Neodiprion lecontei: one gene and its partners. The protein of the gene in region 3 purifies or fractionates together with the protein of the main gene of each other region. This does not show direct contact. Links are inferred from orthologs where the notes say so. Each region holds a gene or a part of one and is shown on either strand. Other genes may lie near its edges.

Region 1 (11,160 bases), on a different chromosome or scaffold from region 3:
CAAAATACCTTTGGATGTTTTCTCTTCTGTTGTTTGAAAATGAAAAGCATGGCTTTGATGGCTATTTTTCTCTCCTCCAAAGACTCGTGTATCAATGAGCTGAGAAAGAAGCGCACTATTTTCGCAGGATATATCTGATCGGGATGAACCAAGTCCCTTATAAGACTGATCGCCATCAGCCTGTGCCTCCAATGGAGACTTTGTTCGATAATAGCTTTAAGTAATTTGTCCAACAGACTATTGTAATATTCTACATTTATTTTTCCTAAATTCTTTAAGCTCTCCACTCCCTTTTCGATTTCAATTTCGGTCGGCTGTAGTAAACTGGGTTTAGGATAGTTATCCCATAATAATTTTGCTGCCTCGATACATCTTGATGGTATTTCAATTTCTATAGAAATTGTTGGAAAAAGCTTGCGTACCGTGTCCGCTAACTTTTCTTTCAAACGAATTACAGACAATTTTTCAGAAGGTTTAGATAAAACCAACGCTGGCCAAAGTGTATTCAATAATATCCAATTTCGTTTTGTGATTATCGGAGCTTGCTTTGGACCTAACAAAATGTATAAGACTCCCTAGAAGAAAAACATGTATTTCGTTAGAAAAAGATGTTTAGGAAAGTTGAACGATTATTCGTAAGTCCGGAGAGTGCCTTACTTTGAATGCTTCATGATGTTCTTCGCTGTCTTTGCCCAATATTTTCACTATCTCGGGAACAATCAACTCATATGAGCACGGAAAATATTGCAAGGCGGTAAATAGTCGACTCTGCGCCCTTGATCGGACTTCTCCATACCTACTGGTTCCCAATATGAATAGTTCCAACATAATGGACTTGTGCGTTTCTGTGAGACAGACCACGCTTTCCAATATACGAATTTCGTGCTGCATCGCCGCACGTTGCACCATCAATGTTCTCATGTGCCTTTGCTTCCCTTTCAGTTTATCCTCTATTACTTTTTTACCAATCATGAAATTCTTTCGCCTCACTTCGTGATCTTCGCCTATTCGCATTCTCCCCAACAGCAGAGAACCCCAGATCTAAAAAAGTTTAGAGTAAACTGTCCTTTAGCAACAGTCCAGAGTCAGTTTTTCATCAGTTTCAGAATTTTACTTCCATAATTACCTCAATCACAACGAATAAACTTTTTATATCGTCTTCACCATCCCTCAATATATTGGATTGCAAATCGCGCATGATATTCACTATATGCCGCCTGACGTTACTTCCATCTGGCATCAACAGTTCCCCTTGAATTCCGAGTTCTGGTGTAAAAGAAGTCCACTCTAAGGCTGATTCCACCGGTTCAATGTGAGGTTCGGACCAAACTGGCAAAAATGCCTCACAGCCGATGAGAATAGCACTCATTATATTGAGATTTGTCAAAAGCTCCTCTCTGCAATTTTATTTCCACAATTATTCTTTGCTCACATTACAAAACTGTCGATACAAATATGGATTAGGAATGTTTTGGCTTACCTGGTTAATGTGTTTTTATCTCCAGTAAAACGCTTTATCTTCTCCAGAACAGGCGGTAGATACTTTGAAAAAATTTTTTTAATTGCTGCCACTTCATCTACTCCAGGTACATACCATTTGACATTGAGATCTTTGTTATCTACCGCCTGTCCCCAGTCCTTAATTGACATATATTCAGGATCATTGTAATCCCCAACAGACGACTTAAAATCAACAGGTGTAACCGTCGACAAAGACAGAAGAAGTATCTTCAAAAGTCGAGAAGCGGTCTGATTTCCTTCCCTGGATTTCAAGTATAACGTCTTGTCAAGAACTTCGATCAGTACGTCGATGTAAGGTAGTAGATAGTTTCCCCTCGTATCAAGAGTTTCGGCAAGTAGTTGCATACTGTACAAAAGCTGATTATCTAAATTTTCCTCCTTGGCAATATCGTCGCTTTGTCCGACTGCATCCAATATGTTCCTAACCAGAGGTGGAAGAAGTACCCGCAGCGTTTGCTGTCCATTACCACGAGAAAATGAGCGGCAAAGAACGGCTGCCAGTCGGCCGGCAACCTGAGTTTCTAAAATACGTTCGGTAGCAAGGGAACGAAGTTTTCGTAAGGCACAATCAAAAATAGCATCGCTAGTTTGGCCAAGAAGACCAGTACAGCCGCCAGCTAAGGCATTTTCAAACAATGATTCAAGCTTGCTCTTTCCATCCCCGCCATGACTCTCAAGCCTCACAAATTCTAGAGAGCTCGAATCTATCAGGCTGAAGACTTTGTCTAAAAACTGAAGAACAAAATCTTCAAAACGCGATGTTGACTCGCAGATCAATCTATCCTCTTCACTGATAGGGTCTGGCACTCTTGACGAATCCACTATCGGAATTATCCCGGCGAATACAGATATCAATCGAAATGTGAGAAATGATTTTCTCGCGTCGTTAGGATCTATACCAGGCAGAGTTGAGAACAGGAGAGGTAAAACTTGGGATGGCCCCTCTCCATATTCGTAACCTGTGGACAAAAAATAAAGTGGAAGTTGTTAACATCAGAAATTTTCGAACTTTTCGATCGTATCAGAAGAGTATGGTTATTTACCTGTGTTGTAATTTCTCAAGCCTTGAACTAGCGGCCGAGCTACTGCCACAACACAGTTCATGGATGCCGTTAATTTGTGTGGTTCCGTGAGTGAATCCAGTACAGAGTACAACCGCTCTAGGACATCTGGAATGATTAACTTAGGCCGCATGGTAGCCAAATATTGTAGAGCCTGACCGGCGTCAATACCACCCATTTTTCCAAACATTGCTGTCATAGCAAGCGGTTTTATACTCAAAACAAATCGATCAACATCTTCGTCGGTAAGCTTGAATGGTTCAGGTACAGGTTCTTCCCATGTCTGCTTGCCATAGCGTTCCCTGAACAGATCATTTTCATCATTAAAATCATTGTTATGACACAGTATTTCATAATGCTGCCAAGATATTCAAAATGTGCAGTGCTCTTACCTGTGGAGGCGTAAGATGAAATGCAGAGGAAGTTTACTGAGCAATTCCCGCAACTTCGAGTGCCATTGGCCATAATTAGCGGGGTGAATATAGCTCTCTATTGTTTTCAAAAACTTAGTTAAATAGTCTTGCGCGCATGATCTGTGACCCTGAAGAAACAATCAGTGATTTCGTCAGTTTCAATCAATAAAAATGTATAGTTAAATTTTTTATGCTCATTGATTGTATTGAACACAGAAATTAAAAATGTATGTAAATTAGAGAGACTAACCAGCACTGAGACGATCCATATAGCGATGGACGATGTATCCATTTTGTGATGTTTACTGCTTTGCATGTGCTTGTATGTGACTGGCAAGTTCAAGTAGCGAATAAATCTTGTAAACATGAGGGGAACGTATGGCTCCCAATCAATGTATCCGATATTGCTAGTAGCAAGCCTGGACATAAGCCACATTATTTCGTATTCCCAGGTTGGCGCATTGTGACAAACTTCCCACAGGCTCATGAACTCTTCAAACCACAACTGATGCCCTATCGAGTGATACTTTGGCGGTAACTTCAGTGGCAAAAACCATTCCAAGGTTTCCATCGTCGTTGCCATCATAGAAGAATCGAGAGGATAGAGGCACGGTCTAAGTTTGTCCAGTATTTCTTGGGTCGCTGTCACAGGGAAGTAGACTTTGGCAGCATGAACCAGAACATCAAGGGTTGATTCGATGGATGAAAAATACCGGTACATCCCAAGGGCCGTTTCTCCTGTGGCCATGATGCGATATGTCAAGTCATAAAGCGGTTTCCACGGCAGCTCCAACTCCTCTGGAGAGATTAATTCCTTCTTTCTAAACGAGTCAGAATTGAACAAAATTTCTGTTACCTAAACTGAGCCAATAACATACGTTACAACATGACATGATTATGTTTGGCGACTTTGCTATCGGCTTGGCAATTGGCTCTAGCTCTGATGCTTTTGCGGAGTTGGCACAGATTGTTTCAACAGTTTACCGTTATAGCAGGTAGCATATTGTCTTTTTTTTTCAATTAGCCTATACAAGGCTATATAGCTACAAAGTTTTCAATTTGGTGTAAGTCAGAATGACTGTTACTTGTCGCGCAAATTATCGTATAATTTCCAACTACTGACATTTTTTGCAGGACAGAAATAAAAAAATTATACGATTCGACGATAATAGACCAAAAATTATGAACTGTCCTTCGTCATAACGATAATTTAGGCATACTTCAGCAATATTATCAGCGTTGCTCCAAATTCAGCAACCTTATGAGGCTCCAAGTTAGGGATGGTTATCAACTCGTACATCAGTTTTACTAGGAGAATATGATCTTCCTTGGAAAACTTCATCCCATAGATCTTGATGTACCTTAATAAAAGAAGCAGTTTAATCAAATTGGACTCAAATTCATTATTGGGTAAAAATTAGCCTGCGTCAGGGAGATGCGAGGTACATTAAATTGTCTTACTTGCATAATCTCGCGGTCCAGAGGCTACAGCCAAATCGAACCTCTCGCAACAATATCGCTCGCCCAAGATTGGCTTTGATCTCTGAAAACCGACTTTGGGCTTCGGTATCGATGATATTAGCATAAGGTAAAAGTTTGTTGCAAAATATCTCTTTCTGAGGTTGAAACCCCAAACTTCCAGTGGACGAGTCGATGGTTAACTCGTCCCCAAAATCATTGTCCATTGTGTCCTCGTCCATTGTTCAAGGTATGTATATTATTGTTGTTTTTCCTTTCTCTCTTTTTTTTGACTTCTTCTTATGGTCGCGTTTTTTATACTACGCGTGATAGTTGATCAACAAATATACTTATCCTCGTTGATCGACTGTAAGGCACTAACAACGGCTACGCGGAATCACGCGTCATTCCGTCAGTATGTAACAACTTGCTTATTTCCTACTCCTCATTTTACCCGAGTCATCTTTTGTATAGCAGAAAGCTTATTCAGCCGCTTTGCTGACTAGCATTATTATGTGAACTGAGACACTGCTTGACTCCCCACCGAGCCCGCCACGTGTATTCATTAACACGAACAAGGAAACTTATAGAGAGGGGGATCAGAGCAGAATGGTTCACATATTTTTTCTCGAGCGAAAAATAATTCTATCTGTCAAAACGATAAACACCCTAATTATACCTGTTCAAATATTCCATTTTTTCGTACAATGGCGACAATTTTCAATTTTGTTAACGAAAACAAACTCAATTTCTGTCACTTCACCTGTACTTAAATGACAGTGGCATATGGGCAAATAATAACAGATGACAGTTGGACGACTCATGATGAAAAAACATAATATTGATCTATCATGTGTCTAACTCCATCTAACTCTTTTCTCAATTGGCTCTGCGCATGACGTTTATGAATGAGTTTGTGCACGGTGTAAGAATACTAAGAATATAACGTGGTTTGTGGATGTGTTGCATTCAACATGGATCCGAGTTGAATAACAGCTGATATCTCATACACAGAATGCGGCTTATTGTCTTTAATTATTTGCAATGAGAAGTGACGAGCGATTTTTAACTATCGTGCCGTTATTAGTTTCGTTACGATTCCACTCTTTTTCAGTTATTATTTACTCCAATGTACGGTCTCGTTGGTAATACGAACATACATGTGACTGATTCTAACCTCTCGAGTTCGGTCACTAATATTAAAGTGTTTCGTATTTTACATCGAGGTAACTCTTGATCGTCATTATAGATGATATAAATTATGAATAAAAATGCGAGACTCATATTTCGACTTTGTGTCACTGTCGGTAACCTCAGAAACTCTGCGTCAAGTGCAGCACGGGCACTGTACACCCAAAATTCGTCGCTTTGTCTCGCTTCGGATTTAAAAGGTACTTACAACTGTATGATTTCTAACATTCCTTAAAAATTTCTGTGACCAGGAGACGAAAGTTAAACCTTCTGATTTCAGATCACAGGTATACCTGGCCGGTGATTAAAAGTGAGGATAACGACGTTATTCTCCAGGCTTTATCGATGGCACGAACAAAGGCCGAGTTATTAGAAATAATCAAGACGTATAGCTCGTCGTTAAAGTTTGAGCATTCACTAAAAGCTTTCAAGATATTCGATACTATCCACAGACAGAACGCCACGGTAGATACTTCGCTAATACCAAAGATGGACATCCATGAGCTCTGCAAGGTTCTATCGAATGATGTAAAATCGTTGAGTGGAGACGATGCTGTACTCGTGTTAAGAGTTTTACGATATTTCAACGTTCCATCGAGCAGTTTTATCTCACAGTCTCTAACCGAGCACATCAAAAAATTTTTAAATACCATATCTTTTCAACGCCTTTTCGAATTTGATACTCAGTTGGGTAATTTTGAAAGCAGTCCTTTATCAGAAGCGCTCAAGATCGCAGTGCCAATAATTTTGGAAACTAGAATAAAAAATAAAATGCTAAATACGAACGATGTGCAGGATTTAACAGTTGCGTTAAATGTCATGCACAAAAACTCCATTACCGATCGTAAAATAATGCAATTTATCATAGATTCGATATGCAAGCAAGGACAAAACATGACTGTATCACAAGCGACGGAAATATTCAAGACTTTATCCAATTTGAAATATTTACCACGTAATTATCAAGAAGTAGTGCAAAACGTGCAGCAAGTTTTTACAGATAACATGAAACAACTTTCGTACGTCAAAATTGTAAATATATTGAACAGGATGTATAAGGCTATAGTTATTAGGCCAAATATGAAATTTTATAATGAAGAACTTCTAGACGCTTGTGGAAATGCAGCGATTGCTGGAAATATGGAATTTTCAAAAGGTGTTAAGATATTGAATCAATTGTGCTATTTAGGCCACATGCACGTACCATTGATGGATTATCTCATAGCTGAATATTTTCAAAACCCAGGGGTTTTGCTTAAATGTAGCAAAAAAATTGTCATGTGTTTTGTGATATCCCTGGCTTCTTTCAACTATAAACCGATGTTTTGGAAAAGTATGCAACCAACCATATTGGAGATCGTACACAGAGATCAAGTTGAATCAACAAAACTTCTAGAGTTTGCCGTCAACTTAGCAGTGTTTGATTGCTTTGAACCAAATATGATAGATAAACTATTCAGTGAAAATTTCCTTGAATCTGAACTCTCGAGAAACAAATATAGGACGCACTGGAATGTATTACTATTGTATCAAAGTGTTCAGACCCTTTGTTTAATCCCAGTTAAGAAGTCTCCACCTAGACGTATTCTCGAAGATGCAATAAAAGCCAACGAAGCCACGAACAAAAATTCTTCTCTATTACCAGCTTTAGAGAAAGCCATGGGTGGCTCGCAGTATGTTATATGTAACTTGAAGACCAAACTTGGGCATTATATTGGTAAGACAGCAATTGTCATTTTAACACATTTATAAACCCAAAAACGTTCCAATTCAGTCAATTCTCATTTCAGATCATATCGTTATAATGAGAAAAGGTGGATACGCTGTTGCGCTGAATTTACCGCCTGAAGAAACGAATGAATGCAAGCCCATAACGTACATAGAAGAACTTCCACTGCCTTCTGAAAGCCAAGTGTAAGAATTTAATTTTTTTTTTTGTACTCAAATGCTCAGAAACAGTAACCATTTTGAAAGTGACCTTACACATTTGTGAAAGTCATGTGAAACTAAGTAAAATTAATCATCATTTACTGTAAATGATTAATACATAAATTGATGATTTCAGCGTTATAGTGAAAGCATTGCCTGCCAGGGCGTACACAAATAATTCTCAATGCCTGAAAGGCTCTTGGACATTGCTATTGAGAACTTTAGAAAAACAAACTGGACACGCGGTTATTTCGATAAATTTAGCGATATGGAATGATCTCAAGGAGCACGAAAAAATTCCGCATCTCATGCAAGCTATTCGCCTAAAGTGTGACTATCTATCGGAGGCTGCAAATGTATCATAAGTAGTGTAAAGATTAATTAAATTGTTAACTGTTGTATGAGAAGAAAAGAAAACAGCAATAGTAATAAACCTGCGATATAATTACCAGAAATTTAACGTCTTTCTGGAATTCAGCCTCCTTGTCCTCTACAACAATAACTATTCAACGCGTAGAGATCAGTTTGTTTAAATCATCGCTATCGATCCAGCGATCAGTGATCCAGCGCATCCAGCGGATTCAGCGTGAGATAAACAAAGTCACTAAATTAGCGACAGTGCTGCCAACGTTGTCGGGTAATTTCGTAACTTAACCAAACCACTCATCAAAACAGCTGATTTTCCGCACACACAATGCGGCTTATTTTTTTCATGTATTTCTGGTGATAAGTAAGAGGAAATTGTTGGACTACGTGCCGTTATTGCTTGCTTTGCGTCGTTACTATTATCTAAGTAACATTTAATTTTATAAACAGTTACGTTAGTACCGAAATTATATATCAAGCGAATTCTAACCTATAAATTTTCATCAGCACCAAACGCCGCGGCTTTTATACGGATGTAAGTGTTGATAATCGTAATCGACGGTACAAATCATGAACAAAATTGCAAGACTGATATTTCGGGTTTGTGTAACTGCCGGTAATCTTAGAATCTCGTTACCAAATACAACCAGGTTTTTTTACACCCCGAATACTTCGTTCTCTTACGCTTCATACTCAAAAGGTACAGTTTGATTGTTCACTCCGTTGTTGATCAATACCGGCTTCTGGGGAATAAAATTTATTACTTACATTATCAGATTACAGATCGAACCGCGAGCCGTCGATTAGAGGCAGCGAAAGCGATGTGGTTTTACAGGCCTTAGCCACGGTGCGAACAAAGGATGAAATATTTGAAATTGTTACCACATATCGTCCGCTGTTGAAGATTGAACACTCGTTGGCAGCTTTCAAGATATTGGATACTATGCACAGGCAGAAGAGCAATGCTGATTTGACAATTGTAGAGAAGGCGGAATTTCTTGAGCTTTGTAAAGTTCTGTTAAACGATATCAATTCCCTGGACGGAAACGAAGCTGTGTACATTTTGAAGACCCTTACGTACCTTGGCGTTTCAAATACCAGTTTGATATCTCAATCTCTTCTTCAAGTAATCAGACAATCCCTGAACAATCTGTCCTTTCGTCGTCTGTTGGAACTTGAATACCAATTGGAACATTTCAAGAGCAGTCCGTTGTCAGATGCTCTTAAAATTGCGGTGCCAGCATTATGTGAAATTCAACTGCAGAATAATATGTTAGATAAAGAGAATATTGGCAAGTTGATGTCCGCGCTTGTATTCTTACGCAATAAATCTGGTCATCATGAACTGATAGCAAATGTTGTAGATTCGATACGGAAAATAGGACAGGACATGAAGGTTTCATACGCAAGTAAAATATTCAAATATATGTGCGATCTGCAGTATCTTCCACCTGGATACGAAGAAGTAGTTCGAAATGTACAACAAATTCTCATACGTTACATGAACTTTGTTAGTATTCATGATATCGAACTTATTCTTGGCAAAATGTATAAACAGATGGTATTCTTTGAGAATAAGACTTTTTATAATGAGGAGCTTGTAGACGCTTGTGCAAGAGCTTGCATTGCCAGAAATATTGAATTTGAAAAAGGAGTTACCATACTGAAAGTATTGTCCAATATAGGCCACACACAAATACGATTAATCGATTATGTCGCTGCTGAATGCTATCAAAACCCTGTTGTTTTGAGTAAATGTAGCGAAATTAACATCCGAGTTTTGGTTATAGCCCTGGCTACCGCCGATTACAAACCAATCTTCTGGGAGACTATGCAAGAGATCATATCAAAGATTGTCGACAAGGATCAGTTTACATCATCGGCCTTACTTTTGGATTTCGCCGTTAGTATGGCGGTACTCGATTGCTATAATCCACGAGTAATAAAAGAAATATTCAGCGAAAATTTTCTGTCGACAGAAATGTTGAAAAATGAAACGCAGACTAGTTGGAATTTCTTACTATTATATCAAAGTATACAGACACTCTGTTCTACCCCAGTCGGAAAATCTCCACCTGAACGTCTACTTGAAACTGCCATATGTTACAATACAGCATCCGTCAAAAATTCCTCTCTGTTACCTGCTTTAGAACAAGCTATGGGTGGTTCGCAATTTGTTACATCTAACCTGAGGACTAGGCTCGGGCATTATATTGGTAAGAGCATAATCCTTCTCTCTAGAAAATATTCCAAAGCTGTGAATATATCAATAAATTTAATTTTCGTTTCAGATCACGTTATAATGGTGAAAGATGGACACCCACTTGCGTTGAATTTTCTACAAGAGGCACAAGAATACAAACTTGTAACGCACATAGAAGAAATTGTACCTCCTGCTGAAAGCCAAGTGTAAGAATAGGAATTTTATATATTTATGAATGCTTAAAAAGTGTTCATTAACTTCAGCAAAAACAAAGATGTATTCCCCTACTCGCGAAATTATTCGAGAATTAAATTATGTTATTGTAATTTCAGGATCATGGTGATCAATTTGCCTGACCATGCATACGCCATTAATTCTCGTCGCCTAAAAGGACCTTGGTCATTGATGCTCAAAACTTTGGAGAAACATACAGGACACGCAGTTATTCCCATAAGTTCACTAATGTGGAATGATCTCATGGATTACGAGAAAATTCCCTATCTTATGCAAGCTATTCGCCTAAAGTGCGACAAAGTGTCGACATCAACAAACGTGTGATAAGTAGCATGAGTTTCTATTAACATTCAATTTTATTCAATAACAGAATCAAAATGAACTGACGCTATTACCGGATGTAGGTTTCGAAAACTCTGAACTGTGTTTAGAAACGTAAATGAGATACTCCAGTTGCTTCTGCTCGTAAAGAAAGATTTTATTTTACTTTTGCTACGTCTAATTTGTTTACACCAAAATGAGTTTTCATCTTAGTTATAGAGAATGTAAATAAAAGTATTTATTGATAACAAATATTGTTGCATAATTTCTGCCAAATGAAATGAGATATCTTCATGGTACTGTATCTAAAAGCGAAAATGGGAAAATGAGATACATAATCGCACAGATGTAAGGTTTGAAAGGAAGGAATATTATGCTTGAAGGAATATACAACGAACGAAAATAATCTGTTCCAGTGAAGAAGTAAGATGCTGATGTATAACAGTTTATTATATCAAAATAT
Region 2 (10,588 bases), on a different chromosome or scaffold from region 3:
AGCTCCAATTGCCGCACTCTGGAAACGAAGATCAGTCTTGAAGTCTTGGGCAATTTCACGAACAAGACGCTGGAAGGGTAGTTTCCTGATCAGTAATTCTGTAGATTTCTGGTATCTCCTGATCTCACGCAGAGCCACGGTTCCAGGCCTAAGATGAGAAAATCAGTGAAATTACGTTATTAGCATTTCATGTTTTCAGTAGCAATTATTAATGCATTTTGGCAAAATTCATCCATCTTTTAACAAATTGTATGAAAGATTTTTTACATGCCTGTAACGATGGGGTTTTTTCACTCCACCAGTTGAAGGTGCACTCTTGCGGGCAGCTTTTGTGGCTAGCTGTTTACGAGGAGCCTTTCCTCCCGTCGATTTACGGGCAGTTTGCTTGGTACGAGCCATTACTAAGGAGAACCAGATTATTCTAGGTAACTTAGATGTCTCAAGTGTGAGTGTAACGCAAGAATATTCCCGTGTGTACGTGACAGTTGAGAATTGAATTTATACCATATAGTACAATAATATACGTGATAAAAAGCTTCACAATGAAATTCAACGCGTTATGCGCATAACGTTCGTTCTTACATTCGTATTTTACTCCAATGAAATTAGAAAAATTATTGCAGTCTCCAAGATAAATGTGTCAATAATTTCCCTCCAAAATGTTTCACATAGACAAAATGGCGGTAGGTGTGCAACGGTTGTTGCCAGTGTAACGACGCGTTTGGGATAAATTGCAATCCAAGTTTTATCTGGTGCCACCCGACAAAATAGGCACAGAGTTTGTCAGCACTTCGAAGTGGCAATACGCAATATCAGAAAATAAACGATCGTATATATTAAGATTTTTACCTTACGATTGTATAAAGGTGCGGCGGTAACGTTTTTCTACGGTCCTAACACAGGGAGGAATTCAAAGCAACTGATCCCCAATTTACCACAGTGTACGAAGAGTGAAGCAGCCAGCGCACGAACTCAATCAAGAGCTTAGTCGCGTGGAGGGGGCAGGCGTCTGCTGACAACAGTGAGTGCTGATATTGCTGATTCCGCTCCTGCGATCTTGGAGTGGGGGATCGTAAGGGTTGAACGGGTTGAATTTGGGAAACCCTGTTCGCCATCTTCCACCGCTAGAGGCGCTACAGAGATAAGCTACGTGCTCCGAATAAATTTCGTTATTATACCATTGAGTTCGGATGTATAAAGACTGCTAGCCTTATGCACTCTGCTTCGTGGATGACCGCACGGTAAGGGAACTGAAGGGATGCGGGGGAAAGTGCAATATTCGTGTCAGTCCGATAAGACCAGTCAGTAAGTCCAGAGCAATGGGATTATCGCCAGAACTACTTTCGTTTCTATTCTAGGGGCTGAACTTCTTTATACGTTATGTCCAGTCCATAATTCTACGGCGACCTTAGAGCGCATAAATATTACACTTTTTAAATGTAAAATTCACGATTTGTTATCGTTTGATGTTTATTTTAACGTGTACATTGACTGATTCATTATAACTAAAGATGTAAAGTCAGATGCCCTTGATCAAATTTTCGTGACTAGTTTTCGGGGGATAGGTGGAATAATTCTTCAATCAACGGTATTGGTTTGCGGTATTCAAATTCAGCGCCTGACGTCGCAAGCGACGGCAATTCGGTAGTCAAAGGCTGTGAGCGACTCATCTCGACTGGTTGAGATCTGCGAGTGAACGTCGAAGGTGCCGGTCGGCATCATTCGTTGTCGGGTACGTCCTTAGAGTGCGGGAAGCTGCGCACTTTTGCGCACCAAAATCTAGATTGCTCTTTTAAGTCCGTATCGCATAATTCGATCAGCGTATTTCTGCTAAGTTTACATTCGGCAATGGAAATGCGACCACGGACGCGTGGACCAAAGAACGATGATTTAGGTAGATGTTATAATAGACCGTAAATACTGGAGAAGGTGAGCTTAGTATAATATCGTGGCTTTTTGCTATATTGTGTGAAATTTCACTTTTGATGAACTTGTATCTTTACGTGGTGTAATGTGTTTTGGTGCTCTGTTTGCACATTTTTAGTAAATGCGTAACTGTGAGCGGAGTTTCATCTGAATTTCATCCCGAGTTTCGGATGATCCATTTTACCGATACTCCCTTGTGGGTCGTTCGCTTTAAAGTCTTGTTATTTCTTTTTTCATTTTTGACTATTACTGTATCTTCTGATGGGATAAATGCCGATGTTTACCAATTTTGCGAGTTCGTCTACGGGTTTTCCACTCAGTGTAAGTATGCGCATGCAGTCAAACTCGATCAACGAAAAAAAATTCGCTCATCTACAGTAAAAACAATTTTGAGATGATCTACAATAAATATAATCACCGAATAACATCAATTAAAAAACAACATGAGTATATGCATTATGAATGTAAATAGAGACATCGACTTCACATCCAGTGCATATATTTTATTAACAATGGTTCGACATGACCACTCACAGTACATCGTACACAAACTAATGCAAATAACATAGAAGCCAAGCGATTTTGATACTGACGGACATGCGTAAATGCTTTGACTATAGGTACACCGTAAATGGGTATAACTCAAGCCTACTGCGGATAGTCACTCCAATATTTTTTTGGAATCTCTGGATAACTTGTAAAATTGACTATTGCTGAATAAACTTTCATAGAGGTAGACATAATTATCTCGTAACCGCACCAGCCGATGACAAAGATTCACGTTTCTCAACTTGTCACTAATTTTCAATCCCGGGACAGCATTCTTAAAAATAATTTGGTCAAATCTCAATTAGGTATCAATCTACTCATGCGAACTGAAAACCTATCTTTACATAGTAATTAACAATATTATGCGACAAATTATGAAAGCAGAAGAAAATGAAATGACAGATTCACATACCTTTTCGACATTATGGATCTGATTTTCCTGAAGATACTTCAAATGGAAGAAAAGCTCGTAAGCCCAGCCGTCAATGGCTTCGGTTTTTCGTATAGCATGGATCAAAGTAGGCGTCGGAGGCGTGAAATTCAAAGCAAGCGCTTGTAGCCAGCGTTTCAACTGTAACATTATAGGTATATTATACATAGAACATAATGTTGCACAACTCGCAAGAATTGAGATTCCAATCTTAGATTTCATAAAAACTGTATAAAAGCTATTGAAATACTTTTGTTGTATCCGCGATAAGCTGAGCCACGGCTGGTCTCATTATTCTCATGCAATTGTCGAGCGTCGAACCGAGATCAGTCTGCATTAATTTCATCGACGCTCTACTTTCCGGTAGCGACCAAATTATCGAAGCGCCACATTTAGCGCTCATAATATCTCCGCGCTGTATTAAGCTATGTGAATAGATATGCGATTAAGAAGATATAACTTCGGTTATTCAGGGTGTAAAATTCGCAGTTCGACAAAATACCGCGTCTTACTAATCCTTTAGCATGGTGAGAGCATGATTTGCGATGTATTGAGTCGGCCTGATTACTGTATTTTTTGTACAAGCCGCAAGACTGTTTGATAGAAAAGCCAGGATACGTGCCAGAGGTCCTGGACGACGTCGAAAATTTATTTGATCTGATCTTCGCGAACGGTGATGATTTCTCTTTGATAATCCATGACGTTGAATAGGTCGGCTTGAGTTTGATTCGGAGCATAATGCATCTGCTGGTTTATCATTACATAGTTAAACACGATTGTGTACCGAAAGGTTGAACAAGATATGTGAATATTAGACGAATCAATAGTTAACAAGATTATCCGTACTTGCGATAATTAAAAATGTACGTATATCTTTTTTTTTCTTACAATTCACATGGTCATTCTCCAAACTGGTTTCATTCGGAACGTATTTATTAGTCGGAATGCAAGGCACACGTATTTGGGGTTCTCTGTTTTCCGGATTTCTTTTAACGTCAACTTCCGGTACATAAGCATCAATGATATCATTTAAGGCTTTAACTTTGTTAGGAAATCCATTTAAACACGTAAGAGCCTACAGGAAAAATACTTTTCTTCAAAAAAGACGCTGTCGCATTCTGCCGAATTTATATTCAGAAGAACATTAAAAATTTTGATTGGAAAGATTTTCAAATTCACAATTTCATTTTGACAAACTATTTTGTAATGAAGACTGCGAATCACTTACCTCGCGCTGCAGTCGGTCTAGATACGATGCCTCAATTTCGTAATCCATTATATCGGTTTCTACTGAATTAAAAATTTCCTTTTTTTTATTCATAAAACAATGTTTTTCTATTTTTTTGCTGAAATTCGATGTTTGTTCTGTGACAGCTCAATTTTGTATGAAAAATTTCTCTTCAAACAAAACCAAAACAAAAATTGTCCTCTTTGAGTTTGTGAAATCGGATGTTTATAATACTATAGCTACAAGCACCGCGTGTATTGTTACATTATTCTATTTTCATTTATTCGTTTCACGTTTCAAAATACAAGGTTAAATCAAAAGTTATACGTATGCTATATGTATATTATATTTAGAGCCATATAATCAGCCATTACGAAACCAATCACAACACCTTCCAGATCTATGATCGTTATACATACCGACATAACGAAAGAAAGAAATTTAGGTATATTTTTGCTGTGTGATTTCTGACAGAATAAAAAAAATCGTAGACTCAATACTGATGGTAAAAAGTATCAGATGAAAGTAGAGGGCACAAATTATTCTACGCCCTGTAAGTACTTTCATTACTTTTGACACAGTTGAATTCTTGTTGCAAATAAATAAAATACTTCTGAACCGTAAATTTTCAAGAAATATACCAATGTGAACATCAAAGAAATGTTCACTCTGTAAACCTTCTCCAGTTCTTCTTCAATTGCCAAATCTTCATTAAGAGCACACCTATATTAATAAATACAAATATCATGTCTTTTGGGTATGTTGTAAAAAATTACGTACTTCAAGTTAAGATACTTTGCATTATAGATATATTTTCCAGTGCTGAAGAAGTTTTCTTTCTGGGTTTAGTAAGATTGATAATGATGATTTGGGTCGTAATTTTATAATTACTATTCAATGGAGTCTGTCTATTTTTTAGAGTCTAATTAATCTCAAATTCTTATAAATTAAGTCGATGATCATGATTTACTAATCACTCGAGAAAATTAATTTGCCGATTCTCAATTGCTGATCGCATGTACATACATGCAGGAAGCATAAATATCGAATTTCATATCAAACCCCACAGGGACGATAAGTTAAACGATATATGATAACCTTTTTGATAATTGAAGAAAAAAGGAGATAGATTTCGCAATAAACAGAAATTATTTACTTAAAAGCAAGCAAATAAGCAAAAGTGTGTTTATACATATACTTATCTATGCAGTGGATGGAACCTAGTTCAAATTAAAACATGTTCAGATCCTACAACCCATACATGGCGAAAACAGTTTTTTTTTTGTTTTTTTTTTTTAGATTTAGAACACATTACAATAATGAAAGGGTTCAAGTACTGGTGGTAGTGGTAAGATGTTTGTAACGTAATTCTGATTTCATCGAAAAGCAAGATTTCTTAATTTTATCGTTCATCATTTTTTACCACATCATACTCTCTGAGGTTTAAATTAGAATAAAGTTTGCACTCATATGTGAGGGCGATGTTGATTTTTCCTTAATACAAGGATTCAGCGTTTGTCGATCGAGGCCGCTTTATCTTCTCAAGATTTTTTATAACTATGTCGTGTAACGAACAGTAACGGTTACGAACTTCACACATCACCAGCCATAAGCTGAGGTATTCCTTTTCGTCCAATTCTTGAACCGAGCGCCTGTAGTCAATGATGTGTGGATATTTGGCTACTTTACTTACAATTTTACCTCTTGATATGAAGTACCTAGAAAAAAGCATTTCATTATTGTTATATGTCATCATTTTCAATTATGCCGTGTTTTACAAGACATGCGCAACATTTCTTACCTCGAAATTTGATCAAAGAATGCTGCAGCTTCGCTTTCAACTGATTGGATTTCAGCTAAAGTGTCTTCCTGGATTGAGACACCAAAATTGTTTCCATCTTCAATTTTTGGAATCATAAACGAAATCCACATTTTCAGCTGTAGAAACAATGTGAAGGAAAATAAATTAACAAAACGGAGCGACATTTCTCGACCGAGATAATAAATGATTAACATATATGGGGAAACTAGCATTACATAAGACATAGATTTTTTAATCAATATGCTATGTTCTTCTCAATTATCTCAGGAGTTGTTTTTTTCAATTTTTCGCGGTTTTATAACCTTTTCCTCAACAATATACTTACAAGGTTGGAATCCTCGACAAGTTGCCTGATGTATGGCTTGGCAATACGAATCAGTTCACAGAGTGGTTTGTTACATGGTACGGGTCCGCTGGGGAGAACCATAACTTTGGTACCGCTGGCCTCAATATCGTTCAAATTGTTCTCCAGCTTCAGTTTTTTTGTTGCTGGTCCATCGTCGGAATGATTAAGCGAAATTGGATCTGGGATAGGGACATTCAAATCCTGATGTACATCGGAAAGTTCACGGTTGCAGAAGCTCGGTGTTTCCAAAAGCTCATTAAGCTTCATTATCTTCTCAGGAAAGCCTTTTATGATCAATTGTTCCGCCTGATGTTTGTATGAAAAAACATTTTAATAGCAAATGGTTAGGGGATCAGTGTAGCGTTCGAAATAGATTCGGTACTGCTGTTAAACTTTCGATTCAAATTGCAAGGTTCATTAACTGCTGTTTCGACTTAAGTGGATATTGATTACCTTCGTTTTAAGCGAATCTTTGTATTCCTGGACCTGCAAGGAGAATTAATAATTAACATTTTGTATAAATTCAGTTGCAGATTCACTTTCATGCATGTTCTACTCAACTTATTCTCAAATACCTCAGTTTCAGTAAAAGCATCTTTCGAACCTTTTGATTCATTGCTTGGAACAGGGCGAAAAAATAACGGCAACATTTCTGGTAATTTTAAGTGATTTTTACGTTGTTAAATTTTTTACGCTACTTCTACGCCTGAATACGGTATATGTTTAATTAATTTGTCATTTTTTATTAGCGGTGACATGACTTACGAATTTTGGCAGGTTATTGAGAAATTTTTGTCGTCAAACAAATGAATTCGTTAAAATTCACTTTTATCAATATCTAATATCTGCAGGTAAGTATGATATCATTCGAAGGACATGTAGACAAAATTATACCTTGCAGCTTGTGTGATACATGAAGAAAATTTCTAACGACAGACTATTTTTTATAAGGCAGCGACGCTTTATGACGGCAGGTCATGGCTGAAAAATATACGCGTCATAATCACAAGGAAGTGTTAAAAGTTTTGTCAACTGAAACGCAGGTTCGACTTGTAAATGTAACAATAATAATCTACATATTTGTAAAAAAAACGTGAAAAATTTCCGCAATAGGCAAGTATGCGGACTAAACTTTCCAATTTATATCGTACGTACGGCGCAATGTGCACGATTTAAGGTTAGGTTAGGTTAATAGCACAGTAGAACGGTGATGTTTAAGCGGCATTGTAGAAAGTGAATAGTGAATAAGGATTTTACAAAATTTAGGATCGTGTACTATGATCGATAATGGGTAAGGAAAGTTTGACAATTACCACATTTGTTGGTGCCATCGTGAAACACAAAACAATACTAAGCCGAGCCTGTAACCTGTAACCCTACCGGTCGATGTTGGCACTAGTTAAAAACCAGTTATATTTCACCTTTCTGAGAACTCTTGGGACTAAAATTTTGCGCAGGAAGGGTTAGACGGATGTCTTAGGTGTTGTTAACAAAGAAATTACCTTCTGCAACGTTGAATCAGCCATTATATCACTTAGTAAAAAATATAACTTATAAAATATAACCACACTCTTTTCCTCGTTGAAACGTGCAACTTCAAACCTATAAGTGGTCTCTGCTTCCAACAGGAAGTTGTCAATGAGTTTTGGAACGCTCTAGTCAAATCAAAAACCAACTAACTATATCAGTGTCTTCAGTAAACAACAATCGCATTTATATTCACATTTATTCACTGAAAATTGGCCAAAATTCAATGATTGGGCGTATTCCAATGGTACTAAAATCATTCCAAGCACTTTATGTATTCTCCATTCACACGATGAACCTCGATCTGATCTTGATATTCCGCAAGTCAGTTGACTCATCTTCGATTTCACGAAACGCTGCAACCAAAACGCGCAACTGTGTCTTTATTAATACAAAACAGTATACATAGTTTAACACATTAATGTGGAAACGTTTGTAAATATGTAGCGATCCACGCTATAGAGTTGTACATGAAATCAGTCGTTTTTAACTATGATTAAAAAAAAATTGTATAATGCACGGACATCACTAATCCTTGAAAGACGTAGCTTTGTGTACATTATTTAAGCATTTCTAATTTTTAAATCAATACGTTGCAGCATACGCTGTCGTAAAAATATTTCACTTGATTAAAATCGAGTAAGGTAAGATAAAATGACTCAACGATTTGATACAACGTTGATCCGGTGTATTTTTGAATATTCGCCTTTCTTGTATAATCGCGCCTGTAAAATCGAAGAGACTCAGCAACTCGATTATTAGATTCGATTTAAAAGCCTCGAATTGTGACAGATGAGAATTGAGACGTGCGAGGAATGATAAACAAATGCATACTTTGAAGCTGAGTAACCGAATCACTGGTGGAATAAACTCTCAAAGATAAACAATCTCAAATTATTGACTCAAGTCTCACGGCCGACGGCATGTACTTGACATTAGTCGAACGGATACGTGTTGATAAGATAATACATTTCCTATGATAACGATCTATTCACGTATTAGCAACAGGAAATAACAGCGCGTTAGTTATTGAGAATTGATTTAATTGAATTAAGGATGACGAACGAACCAGGTACCTCAAAAGATGATCATCCACCTAATGATGTTGGAGGGATACCTCGTAAGTGTTCATCAATATCTTACTAGGCGTATTCATCGTACTTCATAGACAACCATTTTTTAAGTCCTACTCAATGAATCCGTTTGGTGTACTGTTAAAATGCAAAAATAGCATTGTGTAAGGTATTCTATAGAACCTTTCTCTTGCTTCATCATATTCATTAACACTTGTCGATACATTTTCAAAAGATCATACTGAAGTCTCGATGTATTGTTATAGCAAATACATCCAGCGAATTAGATGTATCAAATGTGGAAAAACATTGGGGATTAACAATGAGGCGTCCATCAGTACAACGGAAACATGCACAGCATGCTCGATATATGCCGTCCAGAACTTTAGGTGAATATTATTATTGAGTCTCTATGTTTATTTATCAATGAAAGAAGAGTATCTAACGAGATACTTTTGTCCTGTGTTTTTTCAAACATTTCAATTATTTCAGTCGGTTTGAATGAGGAGACAAAACATGAACGGCACGGACGGACAAACGCGCTTCTGTATGCTACCATGAGAGCTCATCGAGAACCTGTCTCACCAACAGAAGATCGTGCAATGAACATAGCGAGCCGCATGGAGTTGGACGACGAACTAATGCACGATGATCCTATATCAGAACTTCTTAGAATAGAGAAACTGCGAGACATGCCACAGTGTCTTACTGTGAAAAGGACAATTAAGGCTAGGCTTACGACATCGGTCAGCGAAAATAAGAAGAAAAGGAAACCGATCAGCTTTTGGAAGCGACTGAAATACAAAATCAGTATGAGTTTTACCAAGGTGACAATTGGAATGCAGAATTTTTTCATGCTGTTTAAACTAAGTCCAGAGGATTTTGTACTTTAAAAATGAATATTTTTAAGCTCTGCCGATTTCTAAGTTACACAGTTTTATGTAAACTATGTCCAACTGTTTTAAAGAATGATTTATTTCAATGTCAGGATTTGTGAGGCCTCAACTTTTTAGCTAGAGATAGTCTAATTTCAAAATTAACCACACATTCTACCATCATTTCTCAGTACAAGAGGCACTGTCACTCATACATAACAACTCATTAGACATACTAGCGCCTAAAAATACTTTTGAATGCAGATTGGTATGGCAATGCGTGAGGTCGCATCGACTATGGAGCTGTGGTATCATTCGATCAAAGCAATCGAGGGTCATTTTGGTAGCGGGGTAGCTACTTACTTCAAATTTCTGCGCTGGTTATTCATTTCAAACACCATATGCTGTGTCTTGAGGTACTAGTATCTTCAACTATATGAATCGTACACACGTGTAGTTTGATTTAACATGATTTATACTTTTAGTTTGGGATTCATCGTCCTACCACAGTCTTTGTTGGAAGCGTATTCAGATACGGCATTCAGTGGATGGGATCTTTTAACAGGAACTGTAAGTCTGCTGACTAAGAGTAATAAGAGTTATTGAAAACTTGAAAGATCAGGTGTAAGGAAAATAATCCAGCTTTCTTGACTAAATCAATTATATCTTTAGTTGTTACTTTTAACGGTAATTTTAATAACTGAAAAATGAACCTCAGTATGACAATGAAATAGAGATGGATGCCAACAACCAGTTCCATTGGACGAAAAAATTTTGGTTAATTAATAATGCAAGTAATTTCACGTTATAGG
Region 3 (11,160 bases):
GCTTGTCATTTGAATCCTCCAAGAGGCTCGGTAGAGTCTCGCGCCCGGCAAGTACCGACACACTGTAAATCAGCATCATCTTACCTCGGCAGGGTCTCGGTGCTGTTGCTGTACCTCGTAACAAGATCGGATCATTCCTCACAAACGCCGCCTACATCGTTTATACGGTGACTCCAAAAGGCGGGCCTCTCCCTTATCCAGGAATACCGGTAAGTCAGAGGATAATTTTTGAATTTGGAAAGATTCGAAAGGTTTCTCATATCCGAAAAGACCGTTAGATCTACAGATTAACCTCGAAATCGTTATTGTGTCCTTCGCAGAATCTTGTAACGCCTGAAATATTGATGGTACGCATTGAATACTTGGAACTTTGTATCCAAGGAATTTGATTCTCAAAGAAAGAAAAAAAAGAAAAAACCCTAGAAGTCCGCAACTAGCTGATATTTAAAAAATTATCCTAATACACTGCAAAACTGAAATGCTGTATCTATTTCAGAGCAAGGACATTAAGGGGCCGGTGATTCGAGCCGTCCATTTCTGGATCGGAGAAGCTTGCGAGACGACTGTTGCCGGAGGTGCAGCGCTGAGGGCGGCGGAGCTTGATGCTCAAGTTTCGGCGACGATTCTTCATCGGGAAGCAGAGGGTCGAGAAAGTCCGAGGTTCCTTGCCTACTTCAGGGACAAACTTGTCGTGGAAAGGAACCGACCCGAGGGTCTGACGACATGTTGCAGCCTCCACCGAGTCACGGGAGTAACGATGCCAATTATTACCGAACTTGAGGAAGTCGCTTGGGATCATTTTTCGTCCTGCGATGTTATTCTTTTGGATTTTCACTCAAGGTAACTATCACGGAAGTCTGGAGATGAAAACATAGTCCGGTACTGTATGGGAAATCTTTTGAGTCCCAGTGTAAAATCGGTCAGCACCGTTTAAAATTATACCTTTTCGGAACGTCGAAGAATCATTGGAGTCATTCGAAATTTGCTGAGTTCTTTTGAAATCGTGTGAAGTCATTTGTAGGAAACGTGAAAGACCGGTAAAGTTGCTTGGAATCTGATAAATCTTTTCAGAAAAGTGCCACGACCGTAGTTAAGAACTGAGAAAGAAAAATTGAAACCACGTGTAACGGCATGAAGACCTTATAAATTCGTTGAACTCTGTTACAATTCGTTGAAATCCTATAATCTATAACGTATCACGACCCGGTAAAAATTATATCAAATATTCTGACGTCTCTGATATATTTTGGAGTTGGTTAGAATGTGTTGATGTATTTTGAAAATTCTTTTGATACCATTTGCATCCATGTGGTATCTTCTACTATCTCTGAATTCACAAAGGGATCATATTATACAGATTTTTTGGAATCGCTATGATAACTAAGCTGTTAATAAAATTCTTCTGAAGGGTATTAAAATCGTTTGAGCTTTCGATCCAAATACCTATACGATTCCTTCATTTTTTGGGTGATGAAAAAATTGACCTAACCACGCATGTCTTTTCGAATTTTATCCATCCGAAGAGGGGTGATCTTCCTCTGGATCGGATCATCGGCTCTTCCGCTGCACAAAAAGCACGCGGCAAAGATAGCCGAGCTTCGGAAGGAGAACAACAATGGTCGAGTGGTGATGGTGGACGATGGTTACGAGCAGACAATGGGGCGGGAGGACAGAGCTTTATTCGACAGCGCGCTGTCTCCGGATACGAGGGTTGTGATGCCGGGACGAATGGGGTCTACAGGTTCGCCGAGTCCGATAAAGTTGTACAAGTGTACAGAGCAGTCGGGTAAGTACAAAGTCGCGGAGCTGAAGTCGGGCCCGATTTTCCGTGCCGATTTGTCCCCGGAATCGGTCTTCCTTATCGACCGAGGCGAGGCAGGGGTTTGGGCCTGGGTCGGGCGGGAAGTCAACGCGAGGGAGAAGCTCGAAGCCGTCAGAAACGCCCGCGGATTTGTCAAGAAGAAGGGATACTCTTCGGCTACGCCGGTCGCTCGAGCCGTTGACGGACACGAACCGTCGGAGATGAAATCTCTTCTCCGAGGATGGGACTCTGAGAAGAAGAGGGCCCTTATTTTGCCCTCCCATTTTGAGCCCGACTACATGGCAGAGCGGCCCAGGATGGCCGCCGACTGCCAACTCGTCGACGACGGGTCTGGCGATAGGACTTTTTGGAAGGTCGCAAAGAGCGATACGGCCTCGATTCGTGACGCAGGAATTTACTACGCTGAGGCCTGTTACGTCATGCAGTACAGATACGGCATCGGAAGGAAGAGTCGAGTCGTAGTAAGTTATCCTTCTCTTTTCCTCCGTGTATCCAGCTTCCATTGTTACACAATGACTTTTACGTATGTTCTGTAAAGTTTGTACCGTAAGGGCCTGTTCTGAGTATTCTCAATCATTTTTCGTCATGATATTCCACACTGAACGACACTTGGTTTTCACTGAATTCTCATCACATCTTGCAATTTTCTTGTATGGAAATATGCATTTCACTCAATTCAAGTCATTAATGTTCTTCTGAGTCAGTCTCACATGAGTTTCGACTAATTCCGGAAAATGACCAAGTTCCACAGACTCTGAGACCTCAATTAGGTCCCTTAAAAGATCCCAAAAGGCATTTCAGCCGGATTTCAAGTATCCTTTTCAATTCCGAACGGAAATTCTTTTCAGTCTGTGACAATTTCTCCAAAACACACCAATAGAAGCTTTTGAATGATTCTAAATCCGATCGTCATTTGCAGGTTTATTGTTGGAAGGGTGCGCATTCGTCCAGCGTCGACAGAGAGGCTGCCCTGGAATTCGCGTGTAAATTAATTGAAGAGTCTTGCGGTCAGTTGGTGGTAGCATCTCAGGGACGAGAGCCGTCTCACCTGCTGCAAATATACGGTGGAAGATTGACCATTCTGTCCGGTCAGCACAGGGACAAACGTACACTGAACATTCTGATTAATTGTACCTCGTCAAGATCCAGAAATCAAATATTTGGAGGATGAATAATTAGCTTTTCCACGATTTTCACAGCCCCGAAAAAGTACCTCGTCAGGGTGCTTGGATCGACTCCGTACACCTCGAAGGCCGTCGAGCGACCACTTAGGTCCAGCAGTCTCGACTCCAGCGGGGTTTTCATCCTCTTTTCAGAATCTCCTGTCGTCTGGTGCGGGGGGAGAAGCACCGGAGACTTAAGAGAAGCTTCGAGACGTTTGGCGTCCAGCACAACTCCGCTGATAGCCGAGGGAAAGGAAGACGACGGATTTTGGACGCAGCTTGGAGGTAAAGAGACTTTTTGTCGCGGTGCTTGGGTAGAGACCCTACCGAGACTATTCGAGATCGGTGGAAATCGGCTTGAGCTAGTTTAGTGACAGATTTTATTTAAAGGGTTACCATAAACTGTGAGCGTCGAGACATGCCAACTTTCAAAAATTAATTTCGAAAAGACTGCTGATGCGATATTAATCATTTTTTCATGTCAACTCATGTATGTGTTAAGACAGAGCGTTGTTTCCTTTTCGGTGAAGAGAAAAAAAATCCTGAATTTTTTTTGATATTTTTTATTATTTTATTATGTTATTAATAATTACTCAAAAAAAAAAATGATGACGGTAAAATCGTACATCAGCCGGAAAGTACTATTCCTTTGAACATACGTACCAATTTCAAGTCGATTTATCATTACAGATCGCGATATCGTGTACATCGTTTTGAAAAAGATAGTTTCGAGAAAACACGTTTAAAGTTAGAGCACTTATATACTGAGTGAAAAAATTACCTCATGCCAAATGCTGTGTCTCAAAAAATATTTTGAATATCGACGTACAATTTATTGCATATCAATCTTAACCATTCGACCTATTTTTAAAATACAATAAAAAGTTGTTCATTTTGCTAAATTTCGTAGAATGACCCCGTAAAAAAAAATTTGGACAATTCGCATAACTTTCAGGACGAAGTGTCTACTCAACCGAAACCGTGGACGTCGTTGAGGAGTGTGAAAAACGACTTTACCACTGTCAGGTGGAGGCCGCAGCTTTCGTAGGTCAGGAAATCCTGGGATTTGGACAAGCCGCGTTGCTGCCCGAGGCGGCATGGCTCTTGGACACCGGAAACACGATATGGGTATGGCTGGGCGATTGGTCGACGGTAAAAACGGTCAAGGATTGCGTCGAAATGGCGACGGTATTTCTATACACACACCCAGCTAGTCGGGACCGGAACACGACCATCACGGTGATCCGGCAAGGTGGGGAAAAGACACAGGAACGGGCTCGAAAGTCAAATCTTACGGTGAATTTGAACCATTTTTGCAGGTTTCGAGCCACCAACGTTCATCGGCCTCTTCGAGAATTGGAATCACAACTCGCTTAGGGATTACCAGAGCTTCAACGCTCTGAGAAATTCACTTTTGGACAAGCAGATGGCGGGGCCAACTAGCGGTAACGAAGCCGAGGAAAAAGAGGCGACGTCGAGTTTCGACAACTTGGTCAAATATCCACTGAAAATGCTGAGGAATGAACCGGAAAATTTGCCAGCCGGCGTAAACGTAGAACGAAAAGAGATGCACTTGACACATGACGATTTTTTAGCGGTCTTCAAAATCCAACCGTCGGAATTCGAGAAATTACCCGCGTGGCGGAGGCAGAGACTGAAACAGGCGGCCGGCCTGTTTTAAAACCTCACGAATCAGCACTCGAGAATATTTTTTTAATGTGTTTTGTCGACGTTCAAAGGTTATAGGCCAGAGTCAGAGTATGATTGAAATTTATTTCCAGATATTTAATACAAAAACGGAACAAAACTAACGATTATTCCTTGTGTATTTAATTTTAAATGGTTTCTTCACGTTCTTTATTCTCCCATCGTCCTTCCGTTCACGACGACGTGTCCATAGACTCCTGCTCGATCCTGCGGATCACCGTCTTCTCGATTATCACAGGGCGCACAACCTTGCTTAGCACAGCCGTCGTACCCTGCTTGTAGCGGTACGATCCCTGCTTCTGCCCCTTCTTGTTGGCCACGTCAAAAGGCCGGATATAGTCAACCGAACCCTTTCGGATCACGCAGACGTCTACGTTCGATCCTGATCCCAAATCGTTGAAGATACCGGCCCTGATTGCATCCGCAACGAGATTTTTACCCTCTTCCTCCTGGTGAATATCAAGGCAATAGAAATCAGAAACAGTAGAAGCACCCTAAAGTTCTGATATCGATGTTCGAAATAATGGTATTTTGAATCACTGCAGGGGATTCTGGGCCGCAAAATTTCGTCATTCTAATTGGCTGACCATGCACTTAAAAAAGTGACGCGATCACCCCGAAGGTTTTAGAAGTCTCACAAGCATACCCTGACCTCAGAATTGCAAAATTCTGAGCGGTAGGTCCAGTTGAAATTAGAATCGTATTCAAAGACGTTCAGAATAGCGTTTAGAATAATAGTCCAACATATTAGATGCACGGTTTTCAATTAAAAGACTTTTTGAGATTCAGGAGGTCGAATGCACACCTTTTTTCAATAGATAAAATCCATTGATAAAAAAAAAAAAATTAGCCAGTTACACAAATCAAGGCTTTTCTCTACTGAAGATAATACTGTGCAAAACGCTTTATAAATTTCTATAAAAATTCCGACTCTGGAAGACTTCACCATGATGATCGTGTAAATTTCCCGTAGAACTTGTGATTTGCTATAAAATACTAATTTACCGAATTCTCTAAAGTCCAAAATTTCCGAAAAAAATTCACCCAACTTTCAATGCAAGACTCTCATTCATTTCTGAACTTTCTCTGCAAAGTGTGTCAAAATTGGATATTCCTCACGGAAATTCACAGAGCATTTTTACCAACAAGGTTATAAAACAAGTTACATTAAAAATCGTCATTCATAAATAAAAAAAGAATACGGGAATCAACTACGTTGATGAAAAATATGCACAGAGAAACTTGAAGATACCCACTGTAAGGTTCGGCTTCCATTTACTCTCAAACACAGCCATAGCAGCAAGAGATCCAGATCCCATTGTGCAATATGGTAGTTTGTCGGTTGACCCATGGGGATATATGCAATGGAGATGGGGTCCCATCAGGTCAACACCGCCGAGGACAAGCGCAGCCCCAATGTGTCCTTGGTGACGGAACAGTAGTTGCTTCAGCATCATGTTGGCTGTTGCGACAGGTACGACACGACCAGTGTTGAGGCGATGTAGCTCCAGCTGACTCGCGATCATCTGCGTCGTCATTTCGGTGTCAGCTGCTGTTCCGGCACCACAGCAACTGATTCATGATAAAAGTTTTGTTGAGCGCTTAATCCAAATTGAGTCCAAATCCCTCCTCTTCGTCATACTTACTACATATTTTGAGCCAAGAAGTGAATCTTGCTGCAGTTCTTATCCGATACTATTGTGTCCTCCGTTGCTCTGGTGTCTGCGCCAAGGATGACACCATCCTTGAATACTATACCGACAATTGTCGTTCCAGTCTTCGTTGCCTTTGGAGCTGCATATCCCTTCTGAGCAAGGAACGCATTTCTGTGCAAATGTAACAATCGTTGTAGATCAAATCGGGTCCGTTGTTAATGACTTCGTAGTAATACAAACGTATTGATTTAACGGTGAATCTCCAAATTTTTCCAAACACCTAGTGTTTGGGAAGTTTTGAAGATTTTGGATCGCAGGCCAGAATGAATAATCAGATTATAAATTTATAAATATTTATGTACATATATGTAGAAATAATAGGTATATCATATATACATAAAAGTATGTTCAATTACATGCTAAACATTTACAAACTTATGCATATCTATCCAAAATATATATTTGACATTTATTTTAAAAATACGTCGAGAAAGCGTTTCTTCTAATATTTTTATGGCAAATTATGTTCAGAAAATTGAGGTTAGGTATTGAATTTGTTGCTTTTCGTGACACAGCAACATTGCATTTAGATGAACTACGAAATGCGATTAGTTTGGTACATTCGGGGTTAGATGGGAGGGAATGAGGCTCTGGGATGAATTCTGAACGCTGGGCGTCTGTTTACATATTTGAAGCTTCTCACCTCTGACAGTTATCGAAAGAAAAACCGGGCGCCGGAATGTTGGGGATCAGAAGAGACGACATGATGTATCTTCCTGCTAAAATACTGACAGAATGCACGCACAGTCGCTTTGTGACTGGCAAGTTAACGTGTTTACAACCTCACCAGTCCAATGGAATCAAAGTCCCTACGACAATCGCATCCCGAACAGTTGATTAGCTTCGAGTGGTCTTCGATTATTTCTAGCACTGACACAGTTGGCGCTACTGATAGAGGGAAACTTCAATCTGGATTTTAACGCAAATATTACGTGACAATCAGTGAACGAAACTCAACAAGCGACTGGATTGTTCACATTTCTAATTTCTTCATTTTTATCGTGATTCACTTCAATTTTGTACAGTGTATTAAGAATTAAATCCATGTATTTTTTTTACTAACTCTAATACACGCAATCATTTTCAGCAACTTAGATTTTTTCTGCATTGAAATCAACCATTACGTAGATTAGAATTTGATTGATTGGAGCTCGCAGTTACAGCTTAGCTATCGATTTGAAATTGCAAGGTTGGTACAGCTGGAAAATATGAAAATATACGTATGCCCATGTAAACAGCATGCGCTAGAGGCTAGAGCTGCGTAGATATAACCTAGCAGTGGATTTCAGCATTCGATAAGACAAATCAGACTAAAATCAACATAGTAGACAAATTTTTGTTGGAAAAATTAATTGAACAACATGTTGGAACCAACAAAACAGATTCTACAAGCCGGGCGTATAATTCTAGCCAGCGGCTCTCCAAGGCGGAAAGAAATAATCGAGAATTTGGTAAGTCGCAGAGAATGTAGTTAAGTCCATTGGAATGAGTTATGATCACGCGCACGTCTCAACGCCATGCTGCTACACCGTGATGCGCCCTTATTTCAGCGCTCTCTCGTGGCTTTTTCGTGAACTATTGCAGTTTTAAACAGGGTTTCGAACACGGAGTAGAATACCATGGTTTCGAAGTACGGCAAGATCGTTTAGATTGAGAAGAAGTTGAACAATTTAAAAGGAAGTCTATATCGTTAATCGCATTTTCAAGATCGCAATATAAAATGAGTGGAAAAATTAGCGTACAGTAAAATGCATAAAGGCCGTAACTTACCGCTTAACTTGTTTTTGGGCTGAAATAAAATGCGACTTCGCTTATATACGAATTATGTGACAATGCATCGAATTTTCTTACGTCAGCTGCATCTCCAGTCACTGTCAAGTAATTCGTATAGAATCGAAGTCGCATTTTGTTTCGGACCGAAAACAAGCTCACCCGAAAGTTAAAACATTAATGCAATTTACTGTACATAATTTGAAATTCGACACGAGTGTTGTAGGTAGTTATTTTTAAAAATTTTCAATTGAAACAGCAAATCCTTTCTTCAATTATTTCAAGGGCTTAAAACCAGAGGTCGTTCCTTCGACGTACGATGAAAATTTAGACAGAGCAAAGTACAAATCGCACGGTGACTATGTCAAAGATTTAGCCTATTTCAAAGTGATCGAAGTTTACGACAGACTCAAGGGCGATGAGGTGCAACCTAAACTCGTTATCGGCGCCGACACAATCGTCACCATGGGCGACGTTATCTATGGGAAACCAACGGATTCAAATGACGCAATTAAAATACTGTCGATGTAAGGCTGATACGGTGCTAAGTACGCATACGTACGAATGACAAAAAAATGAGTTCTCTGAATTTACGTTCATTGTATTTTCCAAACCCGCTGACAACTGTTTGCAAAAAGTTTTGTCTCGTGGAATTTTTCATTTCTCATCTAATTAGAACATCGTGAAAGTTGATTTCAAAAAGTTGAAAAAAATCTCCACTAATTATAATGTAACCACAACTCTTATCGATATTATTATTCTCATAATTAATTGATTTTAGTCTGGCTGGAAAAACGCACACCGTTTACACGGGTGTTTGTTTAAAAACAGACAAGGACGAGGTGAAATTTTACGAAAAGACTGATGTAACATTTGGCGATATTACGCAGGCCCAAATCGAAGCGTACGTCAAGACCGGGGAACCCTTGTAATTATATTTTCATGAATAAGTAACTTGCTTAAATCTTTATTATTTATTGGACCTTTGCTCCATGATTGTATGATTCGATAATCCATCGATCGATGTTGCATCTTCCTCATTAGCTATGTATGTGGTACAGGGACAAGGCTGGTGGATATGGGATTCAAGGATTCGGTGGCTGTCTTGTTGAGAAGATAAACGGGGATTTCTTTACCGTGATGGGGCTTCCCGTTTACATGCTGACGAAGATTTTAAACCGACTTTACAACTGATATTATTCGTATGTATATAGGCACTAGAGACAGAGAGAGCGAGAGAATAAATAAACTTTTTTAAAAGCGTCAATACTTTTTACTCCTATACTTGAAAAAAATATAAGTATGTGATATAATGATAATAATATCATTTCATTTATTATTATTTATTATTATCTCCTTTTTTTTGTCCCGTTATTCGATCATTTGAGCGACCCATCCACTTTCAATATACACGTATAATAGTACGTGTACGTGACAAAAAAAAAATTGGCTTATCCGCAATCCGAGACTTGATACGTAAGTCACTTGAGTACTGCTTCAATTTTTTAATCGATCGAATGTCTCCACCATTCCTTTTGAAAAAATGAGAGTGAAATTTCAGACTTTCAACAAACGCTCTGCATGAAAAATGCAAAATTTCCAAGCGGTTCATCCCTTTCTTTTTATATTGCAATTCTTCTTCACGAACTAAGAGTTGATCCGAATCATTTGCGGCGAGGGTCATTGATGAGGAAATAATTTGAAAGTTCAATTAACGCAAGAGCGGCTAAAGTGTAATATTTATAACATACATATACGCGATTGCAGATGTATTGAAGATGTGAGATGAGGAAAAATAGTCAGCGCACGCTTAATCGTTTTATTTTGGTCAACTTTTTTTATTGTTCACATGACAGATATAACAAGTATACCACTGTACGTAATCATAAACTATATTACGTATCTTGCGTTCTAAACTGATAATATCGACTGACGAAATGTTCACCAGTTAATGCGAAACAAATTTACAAATCGAAGTCTGACATATTTGGCAACGCGATAATTTGAACAATAGTAAAAAATGAATCGACAAAAACGAAAATAAAGAATGAGAATTCAAATAACCTTATATTGATATGCATATACATGAACTCGTATTGCACAATTATCTCCCAACAATACGGTTATAAATTATTCTTAATGGTAATATCATCATTACGTTTATTACTAAAGAAAAAACTTTATGTATGTATGTATGTACAATATATCTACCTTAGTATTCTCTTTACTTTCTTTGTAATACTGTGCAGCAATAGTTTATTGCTGGTAACTTTTTCCATATACCTACTGCCGTTATGATTTTTTTTTCAAAACTACTTAGCGATCAACATCTATACGATCTAAGTATAATATAAGTATAGTATTAGTATTTAAGTACAAGGAGAAAACATCTGGTTCTCGTGCCGAAACAAAACAGCGTCTATGTAATCAAAAGCTGAAAATAAAGAGACGCTGCTCGTTTGTACAATACATATAATATATTCGATAGAAATAAAAATAAATAGGCAATCAATAAATATATTACTTTACGTATGGTACGATTGATTTCATAAAAAAAAAATAAATAAAAAAAAAATTTCTTCGTTTGTAGTACAAAATTGCTTTTTATCGTGTTGAACTGGTATCTAAGATCGGACGACGGGGTTCTGACACATCTGCAATGGGTTTCATCCAAGAAGACGTATCTACACATACACTTATAAACAAGTGTATGATGCATCTATCAATTTTCTCCGAAGCATGATACGTTGTATCGTAATTACATGCTGTACACTCACGGAAATACCGTTAATTAAATCAATTTTTTATCGAATGTACGATTTCTTATGTTTTCATTTTTTCATATGCATAATCGTCAGCCGATTAGTCGGTAAAAAACCGAGATACAATTGCGACTGAGTGCAGTAATGTAAATTGATTCGTTTTCTTGAATTTACCAAAAGACCGGGTTTATCGTACAGAAGTTCCAAAATCGCCCTTCAAA

What was found.
Region 1: the proteins of proteasome subunit beta type-7 (region 3) and proteasome activator complex subunit 4A purify together in Homo sapiens (affinity purification with mass spectrometry; 3 studies listed by BioGRID and IntAct, counting the BioPlex papers as one, with this or other methods). This does not show direct contact. The link is inferred for Neodiprion lecontei from reciprocal best matches to the Homo sapiens genes PSMB7 and PSME4.
Region 2: the proteins of proteasome subunit beta type-7 (region 3) and proteasome activator complex subunit 3 purify together in Homo sapiens (co-immunoprecipitation; 4 studies listed by BioGRID and IntAct, with this or other methods). This does not show direct contact. The link is inferred for Neodiprion lecontei from reciprocal best matches to the Homo sapiens genes PSMB7 and PSME3.

The regions. Positions count from the first base shown.
Region 1 is NC_060263.1:3,115,145-3,126,304, reverse strand, and holds the start of proteasome activator complex subunit 4A, read right to left. Parts: upstream 5,215-11,160; 5' UTR 4,696-5,214; coding exon 4,457-4,695; intron 4,357-4,456; coding exon 4,216-4,356; intron 3,817-4,215; coding exon 3,246-3,816; intron 3,124-3,245; coding exon 2,975-3,123; intron 2,885-2,974; coding exon 2,565-2,884; intron 2,481-2,564; coding exon 1,481-2,480; intron 1,398-1,480; coding exon 1,127-1,397; intron 1,042-1,126; coding exon 658-1,041; intron 576-657; coding exon 9-575; intron 1-8. Other genes in the region: uncharacterized protein LOC107224315, read left to right, coding at 5,715-5,844, 5,925-7,361, 7,435-7,558, 7,710-7,938; uncharacterized protein LOC107224312, read left to right, coding at 8,510-8,639, 8,716-10,155, 10,231-10,348, 10,475-10,700. UniProt on the Homo sapiens protein: Associated component of the proteasome that specifically recognizes acetylated histones and promotes ATP- and ubiquitin-independent degradation of core histones during spermatogenesis and DNA damage response.
Region 2 is NC_060261.1:43,017,121-43,027,708, forward strand, and holds proteasome activator complex subunit 3, read right to left. Parts: upstream 7,151-10,588; 5' UTR 6,952-7,150; coding exon 6,877-6,951; intron 6,788-6,876; coding exon 6,755-6,787; intron 6,608-6,754; coding exon 6,281-6,607; intron 6,072-6,280; coding exon 5,935-6,071; intron 5,852-5,934; coding exon 5,629-5,851; 3' UTR 5,343-5,628; downstream 1-5,342. Other genes in the region: histone H3.3A, read right to left, coding at 1-148, 272-399; uncharacterized protein LOC124293036, read right to left, coding at 2,588-2,749, 2,888-3,046, 3,156-3,330, 3,418-3,649, 3,728-3,980, 4,134-4,181; transmembrane channel-like protein 5, read left to right, coding at 8,885-8,948, 9,168-9,290, 9,394-9,728, 10,041-10,192, 10,262-10,346, 10,588-10,588. UniProt on the Homo sapiens protein: Subunit of the 11S REG-gamma (also called PA28-gamma) proteasome regulator, a doughnut-shaped homoheptamer which associates with the proteasome. 11S REG-gamma activates the trypsin-like catalytic subunit of the proteasome but inhibits the chymotrypsin-like and postglutamyl-preferring (PGPH) subunits.
Region 3 is NC_060264.1:22,143,699-22,154,858, reverse strand, and holds proteasome subunit beta type-7, read right to left. Parts: upstream 7,209-11,160; 5' UTR 7,113-7,208; coding exon 7,051-7,112; intron 6,519-7,050; coding exon 6,339-6,518; intron 6,265-6,338; coding exon 5,949-6,264; intron 5,142-5,948; coding exon 4,866-5,141; 3' UTR 4,739-4,865; downstream 1-4,738. Other genes in the region: villin-1, read left to right, coding at 93-209, 497-840, 1,524-2,283, 2,742-2,928, 3,022-3,270, 3,941-4,237, 4,305-4,666; dTTP/UTP pyrophosphatase, read left to right, coding at 7,769-7,858, 8,463-8,704, 8,959-9,105, 9,239-9,371. UniProt on the Homo sapiens protein: Component of the 20S core proteasome complex involved in the proteolytic degradation of most intracellular proteins. This complex plays numerous essential roles within the cell by associating with different regulatory particles.